Danio rerio: one gene and its partners. The protein of the gene in region 2 purifies or fractionates together with the protein of the main gene of each other region. This does not show direct contact. Links are inferred from orthologs where the notes say so. Each region holds a gene or a part of one and is shown on either strand. Other genes may lie near its edges. The genes, in order: dicer1, raf1b and cct5.

Region 1 (4,259 bases), on a different chromosome or scaffold from region 2:
CAGCACAATTTTCTTGACATAGGGTGTCGTGGAAAGTCGTAAACGACAAATGGACATTGAGGTAAAGTTGGTTTTAGATTTACACATGAGACTTTCTCCTTTATAATATAACTTTAGAAAAGTATTCTTCGCAAACTCTAAACAGTGAAATCATTTTAGCAGCCATTGACCATCAAAGTACAACAGTGTTCACAGACAAATAAATAGTGCTAATGTTGTGTTAGTCACACTAACGTGATTTCAGACTGAATATTCAAAGTATCATGGTAAACAATATAGGGAGCATGTCACAAATTGTCACTGAATGAATGTGCGCATATAAAACCAACTTTAACTCAATCAAATGGATGCCGTGACACAAGATTTAATCGTTTCTTCATGTGTAATGTGGCAGTTCACGACAACCGATACTATAGCTGCGCAATTAATCGTTAATAGATCGCAATCTCGATTCAACCCCCTAGACGATCTTAATCCAGCATTTCTACGATTCTGCCAATCATATTTTCAAGTTCAGGAGAGAAGAAAAAGCTGCACGAGTCTTTTCCTCGTTTCACAAACGTTGTTTAGTGACATTGACACCTCTAAATGATGTTGAATGAGTCACATACTGTATTTATAAGGTATTATTCACCTAAAAATATTATTTTTGTTTTAATATAATGTTTTCACGATCAGGAAATCATACGTGACGTAAGCTGTTATCACAGAGAGGGGTGCGTCTACTTTAGTCAACAGAACCTGCGTATGTTGCGAGTAACAGGTAATAAAGTTCTTAATAATATTCAGTTTGTGGCACAGAGTGATCGTTTGGGAGCCGCGCGCAAAGTATGAACAAGCACTTCGCAATCAAAATGAAACAAAGTGTGCACTTCATTTAATGATCATATCGCATTTTAGAGTTATGATAACGACAAGCATTTGATATGTTTTTTCTTTCATAGCGAACTCACAGTTGTGCATGAAAATAAATGTTTACAATGTCAGTATAACTACTCTAGCCTATATATTCTTTAATAAAATCTGATAATGGCAAATGTCTGATTTTACCAGTGAATTAAATTGTCTAATATGACAGATTGCAAGCATATATCTCAAACATAATCATTCAACATAAGAATTATTATAAGAATAGATTAATATAGAATAGAATTATTTATATAAACCAGTAGACCTACACATAATATTATTATTGAGGTTGTGCCATATGTTTGTTTTTACCATACCTTTATTTTACATCTACAAAATTGTGAGAAAATCGTGATCTTTATTTTAAGCAAAGAAATGTGATTCTCATTTTAGCCAGAATCGTGCAGTTCTAACCGATACCATGTTTGTGATGCCTCATGACACCATCTCAGAAAGTCTAGCTAGCATGTTTAATCTTCTGAAGCATAGCGGACTGGTTTTGAAGATGTTATTTGTTTACATATGCATTTTATATTGCAGCCTCTATCAAATTGCGATTCGATTTTAATAAATCGCACACCCCTATTGCTAACGTTGTTTTAAAGTCACACTTAAATGCAATTTCAGATCGAATATTCAAAATAGAGTTGTAAACAATTAAAGGAACAATTAAAATGAACGAATGCACGAATATAAAATCAACTTTACCTCAGTAAGTTATTTCAGCATTCTTTAGTATCTTTGTTTGTGTTCAACTAAAGAATTTGGATTGGAACATGTAAATGAACAAATGACAACATAATTTTCATTTTTGGGTGAACTATCCCCTTTAAATGCGTCAATAAAATAGTGCTAATGTTGTTTTAAAATCATACTTAAATGCAATTTCAGATCGAATATTCAAAGTAGCATGGCAAACAATACAGAAACCATTAAAATGAAGGAATACAAAACCAACTTCACCTCACTAAGTTTTTTCAGCATTCCTTTGTAAATTGTTTTGGGGTTGGACAGGTTTTGTCCTAAACCTAAAGTGGATGAGCAAATAACAACATAAATTTCCTTTTAGGGTGAACTATCCCTTTTAATACCACACTGACTTGATTCTAAAATAAAAAGAAAACACTTCAATACGAGACTAACGTACCCCACACACAACAATAATGCTTCTTACACAAACAAATGCCACGCAGATGAAAATCAATGCCCTCCAGCAACATATTTACGGCACTATGAACACCTTAACAATCACAGAAGCATCTAAATATATCACCATACCCTAAAGATTTTTAATCATGCAAATCAGTTAGGCCTCATCGCGACCTTGGCCTTGGCCAGCAACACACCCGAGCCCCCCTCCAAAAAAAATCATGCATCTGTCAGTTTGCCAACCATTAACGCGACTTCTGCGCTAATGCTAATCTCTGATTACACATGAAGTGCATCCCCAGATCTCAAACTGTGCTCATATTCAGTATACGCCTGCCATGTGAATCAGTCTTCTAACGTTTGAGGCTAGCAGACGCGTGTAGCTAAAAAGGCATCGTCACGCAAGAATTAAACACCATACATTGATTTACCTCATTTAAAACCCTCATGTAACGAAGCACGTACGTTATTGCATTTACACGGTCAAAGGTTGAACGCACGGACAGTTCCCAACCAAATGTACACCGGACAGTTCGGTTTTTAGGCTGGCAGAGGTTAGCACGCGAGCTCGTGTTAGCTTCGGCTGATTTTATTGATTATTTCAAGATCCTGAGAGGAAAAACAAACATAAGCGATCAGCGCGGGAGGTGCTTGTAGATTGAGGCTAGTGCTCACCGATGGTGAATTGTTTTAATGGTCGTGTTGTGCTGAAGAGTGTCTTGTTAAACGGTGCGGAGCCCCTCTCTCCCCATTCCCTCCTGCTGCTGCTGCTGTTGTCAGGCTACTGCACGCATGTGAAGCCCGCTACTGCAAACAACGCGGAAACTGCGAGCACTGCTAACTACACAACAAATCCAAAGAGATTCTGCTACTTCAAAATAAAAGTCGCACTTGTAGGCAGTATGGATGTTTGAAGAAAATGTAGCGCTTTTACTCACACTAAAATAGCAGAATTTGATGATAGTTACTTTTAAGTAACGTAATGCATTACATTATTGAGTTATTTCCCCAAAAGTAACTAGTTGCGTTAGTTATTTTTTATGGTAAGTTAAGTAATGTGTTACGTTACTGAGTTATTTTTGCGTAACTTTTAAATACCTGGCTGAGGCTTGATCTCTTTCAGAACTTTTTTTTTCTATCTTTTTTTTAAATAGAGGAGCTCTGTAATTAATAACACACTGTAAAACCTACATTTACCTTTAAAAAACACATCAAAAATATTTTAGGATAATGTTTTCTGAGAATTCCTTATGCCAGGGCTATGCATGCAGTATATACAGATTATCAAAAGTTTAAAGCAATGTGTTTGCTACTTTTGTACTATTTTTCTGAAGTATCATTGTCCGTTAAGACAGTCTCCTTTTCAAAATAATGAACGCATTCTCCCATTGATTGTGTAATTTATTTTGACTACTTCACTTTTAATTCAGCATTTTAATATTTTTAAAGCTGATTAATTACAATAAAAAGTAACTTGTGTTACATTTTCAAAATAAATAAAATATTATAACAAGTAATGCACTACTTTACTCGTTACTTGGAAAAATAATATTATTACGTAAATCGCATTACTTGTAATATATTACCCCCAACACTGACTGTTGATATTTTTAAATGTTTGTTGGTACTGTCTTTCGTTTGATATTCACAAGTAGCCTGTGTATATTGTGTCATTCCAGTTAAATTTCTAATTTAATAATTTTTCCTATTTAACTTTTCTCATGCATATTTCACCCCAGACATGTTTGTAACGGAATATGTTAGTCTTTGTTCCTATAGTTTGTGTTTTATTTGAGTTTTATTTTTTTATTTCTTATGTTTTCTTTTTATTGTTTGTTTATTCATGGTTTATTTTAACGCTGGGTCTCAAAACAATAAAGATGAAATACTCAAAATATATTCACTTATAATATAACTGAGAGAAGATTTTTTTCAACACATTTCTAAACATAATAATTTTAATAACTCATTTCTAATAACTGATTTATCTTATCTAGCCATGATGACAGTACATGATATTTGACTGGATATTTTTCAAGACACTTACAGCTTAAAGTGACATTTAAAGGTTTAACTGGGTTAATTAGGTTATCTAGGCAGGTTAGGTTACTTTTAATGCTCTATAAGAAAGGATTTGTCTTTTAACATTCTGACGTTTATAAAGAAAATTCCACAAAATAATTTATTTATTTTACAATAAA
Region 2 (3,659 bases):
AATGTGTATATCGGAGGGTTGGTTTTAACTTGTGAAGGTTTGTGAATATATGCATACATAATTTCCTTAATTTCATTTAAATATTTACTTTATTATAATATTTTTTATTTAATTTATGTTTTTCTTTTTTTTTTCTCCAAAGCTGCATTTATTTGGTCAAAAATACAATAAATATTACAACAAAAAAGTGAAATTTTATTATCCTTTACAATAACTGTGTTCTATGTGAATGTGTAGTGAAATGTCATTTATTTCTGTGATTCAAAGCTGAATTTTTACACCAGTAAAACAGATCTTATGATTCTAATATGATTATCTGAGGATCAAGAAACATTTCTGACTATTAACAATGTGCAAATGCTTCATTTGTTTGGAGAAAACTCTGATACGTTTCATTTTTTGAGGATGTTTTTGATAAATATAGATCGAACTACACTAATCAGTAAAGGTCTCTGTAAACTTTTCATCAGTATCAGATTGCTGTACAGTTTCAAAGGCAACCACTCACATGCAAGCATTCATTTCTAGATACACTGCACTGGCTGTAAACTATTAACAGCAGTAGTGTTTATTTCAATGCTAATCGGTGGTTTTAGTGCTTTGCTTTACACATCAAATTGCTAAAGATGCCAAAAATCATTGAAAACTGAACACATTTTCAAAAGCTCAAACTTTCATGATTCCAGCCAATTATTTACCACCGAAAAGCCCCCAAAACACACACACACACACACACACACACACAAAATGCCCACCTGAGTACATCAGCAAATGACAGAATTTCCATCAAACACTGTTAATAAGAGCAGACGTGTCTAGACATCTGCAATAACTCTGAGAAGGAAGCGTTTCTGCTAGTTTTGAAAGTTGATCCGGCTGTTCATTTCCCTGGTCTGACCAGGCTGGGTTATTTGCTTAGTTGCATGTTTTAATTTGCATTTAACAAATAACAGCATTTACGGCTGCAACCGGCTGCTTGACACACACTGCTTTAGGCAAACCTGCTTTAAAGGGCCACTACTGCGCATGTTCATGCAGGACACTTGATGAAGAGTGTAATGTAGATGTTTGTGGATGTAAACAAGCGCAGATAATGTTAAAGTTATTGTCTAACTAAAGCCTGAAATGAGTCATTAATTAATCCAGTCTTGTATTTTCAGCACAAACCTTTGGAGGTTTGAGTATATTTACTTAATGTCAGCCCACAGTCTCCATTGGTCCACTCACAAATCCTTTAAATTCAAGAAAACTACCATCACTGTTATTGCTCTGCACCATTAGCCATCTGACTAATCAGAGGAGAGACAACTAACCAACGAAAGCTATTTGACCAACGACAGCGAAGTAGATCATCTGACCAATCAGAGCAAAGCAAATACATCTGACCACTCAAAGCAGAGTCAACAAACCAATCAGAGCAGAGTACAGCCATCCGACCAATCAGAGAAAAGCAGATCAATTGACCAATCACAGCAGAGTAGAGCCATCCAACCAATCAGGGTGGTCTGATAAATTAGAGCAAAGCAAATCCATCTGGCCAGTCACAGCAAAGAGTCAACAGACCAATCAGAGCAGAGTAGAGCTATCCGACCAATCAGAGAAAAGCAGAGTCAATTGACCAATCATAACAGAGTAGATCTACCCAACCAATGAGGTCTTCTGGTCAATCAGAGCAAAGCAAAACCATCTGGCCAGTCAGAGCAAAGAGTCAACAAACCAATCAAAGAATAAAGCCATCTGACCAATCAAAGAAAAGCAGAGTCAATTGACCAATCATAGCAGAATAGATCAATCCGACCAATAAGGTCATCTGACCAATCAGAGCAAAGCAAATCCATCAGGCCAGTCTAAGCAAATAGTCAACAAACCAATCAGTCATCCAACCAAACATCCGCCCAACCAATCAGAGCAGTGATTCCCAGCCCTGTTCCTGGAGGCACACTCACAGTACACATTGTAGATGTCTCCCTTATCTGAAGCATTCAGTTCAGGTTCTTCTGATGTCCTGATGAGATGATTCAGGACTGTTTGAATAGGAAGAGGTTGTGCACTGCTGGTGTGTCTTCAGGAACACGGTTGGGAAACACTGGACAGGATCTTTGAATCATGATGAGTGTTTCTAAACCTTGCATTGACCAAAATCAGGAACTTTCAAAACAGTGTAACAGCGGCCCTTTAAAGTGTTGGTGAGCTGCTTCAGGTGTGTTTAGAGGCAGTTTTCTGCAGTCCGGCGCTGTGCAACACTCACTCCATGCCCTGAGCCGTCTGTCTGGCGATGTCCATCAGCTGGAACATCTGGAAGTTTGTCTCCTGCACATGCAGGTGTTTGTAGAGGCTGCTTCCCTCACACCACTGCGTCACGATGGCCAGCTTCACCTTCGTCATGTAGCCCATAAACAAGACGATATTAACATGCCTGGTCTTCCTGCGGGAAAACATAAAGACAAGAGTTCAGCAGTGTGACCACAACTCCACTGTCCGCTCTGACAGAATAACACGAGCTGTGTTTCCATTCAAACATACCAATTACATTTATGCCAAAGCTGGAGAATCGCTTACATTTTTAGCCATCTTGGTATTTCCATCAAACATTGTTTTATGCAATAATTTAAAATGCAAATACAGATAGGTGGAAAGATTGTGGAAAGCAGATTTAAATATAGCGAGAGCAGTCGGGTCAGTTCTAGTATACAGACAAACAGCTAAATACAGAGTAAATAAACAGCGAGAGCAGTCAGATGTCAGATGAGCACGAATTCTTTTGAATGGGAAGGAAGATTTAAAATGACAAACAAAAACCCGTATGTTTCACGACGTGGACAAAGAAATATACAACATTCCCTGACTTTCAGTGTCTGCAATACACCTTTTAAATGTCCATATTGCAGAAATCCCGCAGGAACCCTGTTGAAAGTTTCTCTAAAGCTGAACTGAATGATTTATCTGGGCCTTTCCTGCTGGTTTACCTGAGAACAGCCACTTCATTGCGAAAGGCCTGCAACTGCTCCGGTGTTGGATTGATGACCTTTAAAATCTTCACAGCAACATCACCTGAAAATAAAGCCAGCAGCATTTATTTATACTCCGCTTTACATTATAAAGCTACTTCCTGAAGCTCAAATATCATAGCAGCACAACACTGGTCACTCTGCATAAGAGTGTACAGCAGATGCATGCACATGCAGCTGAAGTCAGAATTATTCGCCCCCTTTGAATCTTTTTCTTTTCTAAATATTTCCCAAATGATGTTGAACAGATTCAGGAAATGTTCACAGTATGTCTGATAATATTTGTTCTTCTGAAAAAAAGTCTTATTTGTTTTATTTCGGATAGAATAAAAACAGTTTTTAATTTTTTAAACACCATTTTAAGGTCAATATTATTAGCCCCTTTAAACTATATTAGTTTCTGTTAACCCTTTAAATGCCACTTTTAAGCTGAACACTAGTGTCTTGAAGAATATCTAGTCTAATATTATTTACTGTCATCATGACAAAGAGAACATAAATCAGATATTAGAGATGAGTTATCAACACTATTATGATTAGAAATGTGCTGGAGAAAACTTCTCTGTTAAACAGATATTGGTGAAAACATCAGGGGGTTAATAATTCTGACTTCAACTGCACGTGCACATTTATAAATGCATGACAGGGAAT
Region 3 (2,747 bases), on a different chromosome or scaffold from region 2:
ATCTAGCAGGATTGTATTGATTTCCAAAAAATTGCACAACACCACAATATTCAATTATTAAATTCATGCAAACGTTAGCATATTGTTACAAAACGTAATACCTTGTAAAATTAATATTTTTTAATACTTTAAGAGCCTTAAATTTCTCTAAATGGATCCAACTTTTAATACTTTCTAGGACCCTGCAGACAACCTGAACTAGCTGATATTAGTAAAAACAATGAATGAATTAATTTAAATGAATAAACAGCATACAACTAATTTCTTGAATGTCACAGAATGATTTCTGAAGCATTATTTTACCCTAAAGACTGCGGTAATACCTGCTTAAAATCAGCCGCCATCACAGGAATAAACAAGATTTTCAAATGCATTAAAATTTATTTATTTTAAAAACGATATAATATTTCATAATATAACATTATTTACTGATCAAATAAATACTGTATTGACAATAAGACACTTATTTCAAGAAACATTTTTAAAATGCCAACCCCAGCAGTAGTGTATTGCGTTTAGTTCTTACAAACCTCAATCTCAGGTCCACCGACCCAGCGGATCGCAGGAAGCTCATTCTGCAGGAGTAAATGATTGGCCTCGTCGTCAAATCCCCACTGGCAAATGGCAAGATTGGCGCCATTCTCCTTGACCTTAAGATGAATTGTAAAGAAATTAAAGTAGAAGATTAAGTAACATTTTTCTTGAGAAAATTGAAGTAATGAAAAAAAAGTGCTGTAGCTTTAAAATAGCTCTTATTGCTCAAAATTAAAGATTGATGCTTTACTGAGGCAGGCTATTATGCAAATTAACAAAATAATAACAATAATAATAATTAGCATTTGTCATTTTTAAAAAGTACTTCCATACACTTTAACACACTTTATTAATGTTACATTTAAATGTATAGATTTTTTTTTTTTACATATATTGCTTAACACGTTTCATCTTTGACCTTAATAATAATAATAATAATAATAATAATTTGTAATAAAGAATGAAACAATTACATCCATATAAAATAAAAAATAATAATTTAATCAATATATCTGCATAAAGCCTGGTTTATACTTCTGCGTCAAGTGACCAGCGTAACCCACGGCGCATGCAATGTGCGTAGTCGTGCATTTATACTTCTGCGCGCTGTCTCTGTTGGTCAGCATTAACACTTCCGAAACGCTAGTTGGCAGTGAGGTGTTAATGTTCCTCTGTCTTAAGTTTCTTCGCTGGAGTTTTGCTTTTCCTGAACACTTCCTGTATGTACAAGTGGCTGTACTCATTTTGAGGCAGGAACCGGCGGACGTGCAACAACTTTAACTATGAGGTAAACACAAAACAACTTTCCATCTGGAGCTCCTTCATGGGACTCCACACTTGTAAACAATCGCTCCACTGGGCTCGCGCCGCTCGCATGGCTCTCAGTCCTGCCCAGACTCGTCAGCTTTACCAAGCCGACCAATCACAAAGCTTGCGATACGCGTCGATGCGACGTGTAGTTACATTTTTTGAGAGGCGCACGTCAGCGACGCCGACGGCCAGGGCTATGCGTTAACACCGAGCATACACATGCGTTTGAGGCAGAAGTATAAATCAGCCTTAAGAACCGCAAAACAAAAGCAGGCAATATACAAACCTGTCGGATCATTTCCTGAAACTTGTCCTTCTCGTACTTCTGCAGAGCTTTATAATCCTCCACTGATGTCACATCAAGCTTATGCTTGGTTTTGGGCTTGGGAGGCTCAAATGGGCAGGTGAGGATGGCAATTTTGGTGTCTTTGAGCACCTGGAAGAATGCACTAATAAATAAATAACCTAAAATATTAGAACCAGAGCATGCATGAAATGAACATTAACACTAAACACAAACCTTGGGCATCTGAGGGTGACTGAACTCTTTGTCCACAATGACACCTTTGATGAGCTGAGTGTCCTCTAGTTTACCACCAACCTTTCCTTCCACTTTAATGAGCTCAAAGTCCACATCCTTCCTCTCCATGTCTGCCACTGTCAGAATGGCATTGACAGCAATCTCTGCCATCTGTCTGTGGCACCGGTTGATCCTATAAACCAGGAAAAAATATTAATAATGAATATTCTCAGTAATTATCTGGTCAAATCAAACACGTAGTAACAGAAAAACTCACACTTTGGATCCTAGTGTGGTCATGGCTGTCTGAACGAGAGATTCTGTGTTGTTAGGATCCACAGGGAAACTATCACCGATTTTGTCGAGCTGTTCGATGGCGATCTTTGCGGCCTGATCATAACCATCTGCAATTCTGATGGGGTGAATGCCTCGGTCTAACAGCTGCTCTGCCTGCTCCAGAAGAGCTCCGGCCAGAACTACAGGACAAAACAAACATTACAGTAACTCAATAAGCAAGAAAATAAGACTTCAATCTGCTTGTCAATCGTGACGTATGAAATGTTTCCGGGTCCAAGCCACTACACGTTAGAATTGACAAAATATTTGTTTATGACCACTTTTTCAGTCATATTGAAAATAAAAGTGAATTTTATATGAAATCACGGTGTACACAACGGTCTCTGGACATGCTGCATCACAAACACCAATATTTAACAATTTACAAAAAATGTATTACTTTCTGATCATCGAATATTAGGCATGGATGTATTTATATATACACACTGCGATTTAGATTTTTTTTTAAAGTAAAAAATCACGTGAAAGTAAAGCCGCTTCACGTAAAGTCACACTTAACAAGCGGACAAACATAGTACATAAACAC

What was found.
Region 1: the proteins of raf1b (region 2) and dicer1 purify together in Homo sapiens (affinity purification with mass spectrometry; 3 studies listed by BioGRID and IntAct, with this or other methods). This does not show direct contact. The link is inferred for Danio rerio from reciprocal best matches to the Homo sapiens genes RAF1 and DICER1.
Region 3: the proteins of raf1b (region 2) and cct5 purify together in Homo sapiens (affinity purification with mass spectrometry; 3 studies listed by BioGRID and IntAct, with this or other methods). This does not show direct contact. The link is inferred for Danio rerio from reciprocal best matches to the Homo sapiens genes RAF1 and CCT5.

What each region holds. Positions count from the first base shown.
Region 1 is NC_133192.1:20,754,491-20,758,749, forward strand, and holds the start of dicer1 (endoribonuclease Dicer), read right to left. Parts: upstream 2,835-4,259; 5' UTR 2,538-2,834; intron 1-2,537. UniProt on the Homo sapiens protein: Double-stranded RNA (dsRNA) endoribonuclease playing a central role in short dsRNA-mediated post-transcriptional gene silencing.
Region 2 is NC_133186.1:568,880-572,538, reverse strand, and holds part of raf1b (RAF proto-oncogene serine/threonine-protein kinase), read right to left. Parts: intron 3,052-3,659; coding exon 2,967-3,051; intron 2,426-2,966; coding exon 2,249-2,425; intron 1-2,248. UniProt on the Homo sapiens protein: Serine/threonine-protein kinase that acts as a regulatory link between the membrane-associated Ras GTPases and the MAPK/ERK cascade, and this critical regulatory link functions as a switch determining cell fate decisions including proliferation, differentiation, apoptosis, survival and oncogenic transformation.
Region 3 is NC_133199.1:20,777,597-20,780,343, reverse strand, and holds part of cct5 (T-complex protein 1 subunit epsilon), read right to left. Parts: intron 2,341-2,747; coding exon 2,142-2,340; intron 2,058-2,141; coding exon 1,865-2,057; intron 1,781-1,864; coding exon 1,631-1,780; intron 651-1,630; coding exon 531-650; intron 1-530. UniProt on the Homo sapiens protein: Component of the chaperonin-containing T-complex (TRiC), a molecular chaperone complex that assists the folding of actin, tubulin and other proteins upon ATP hydrolysis.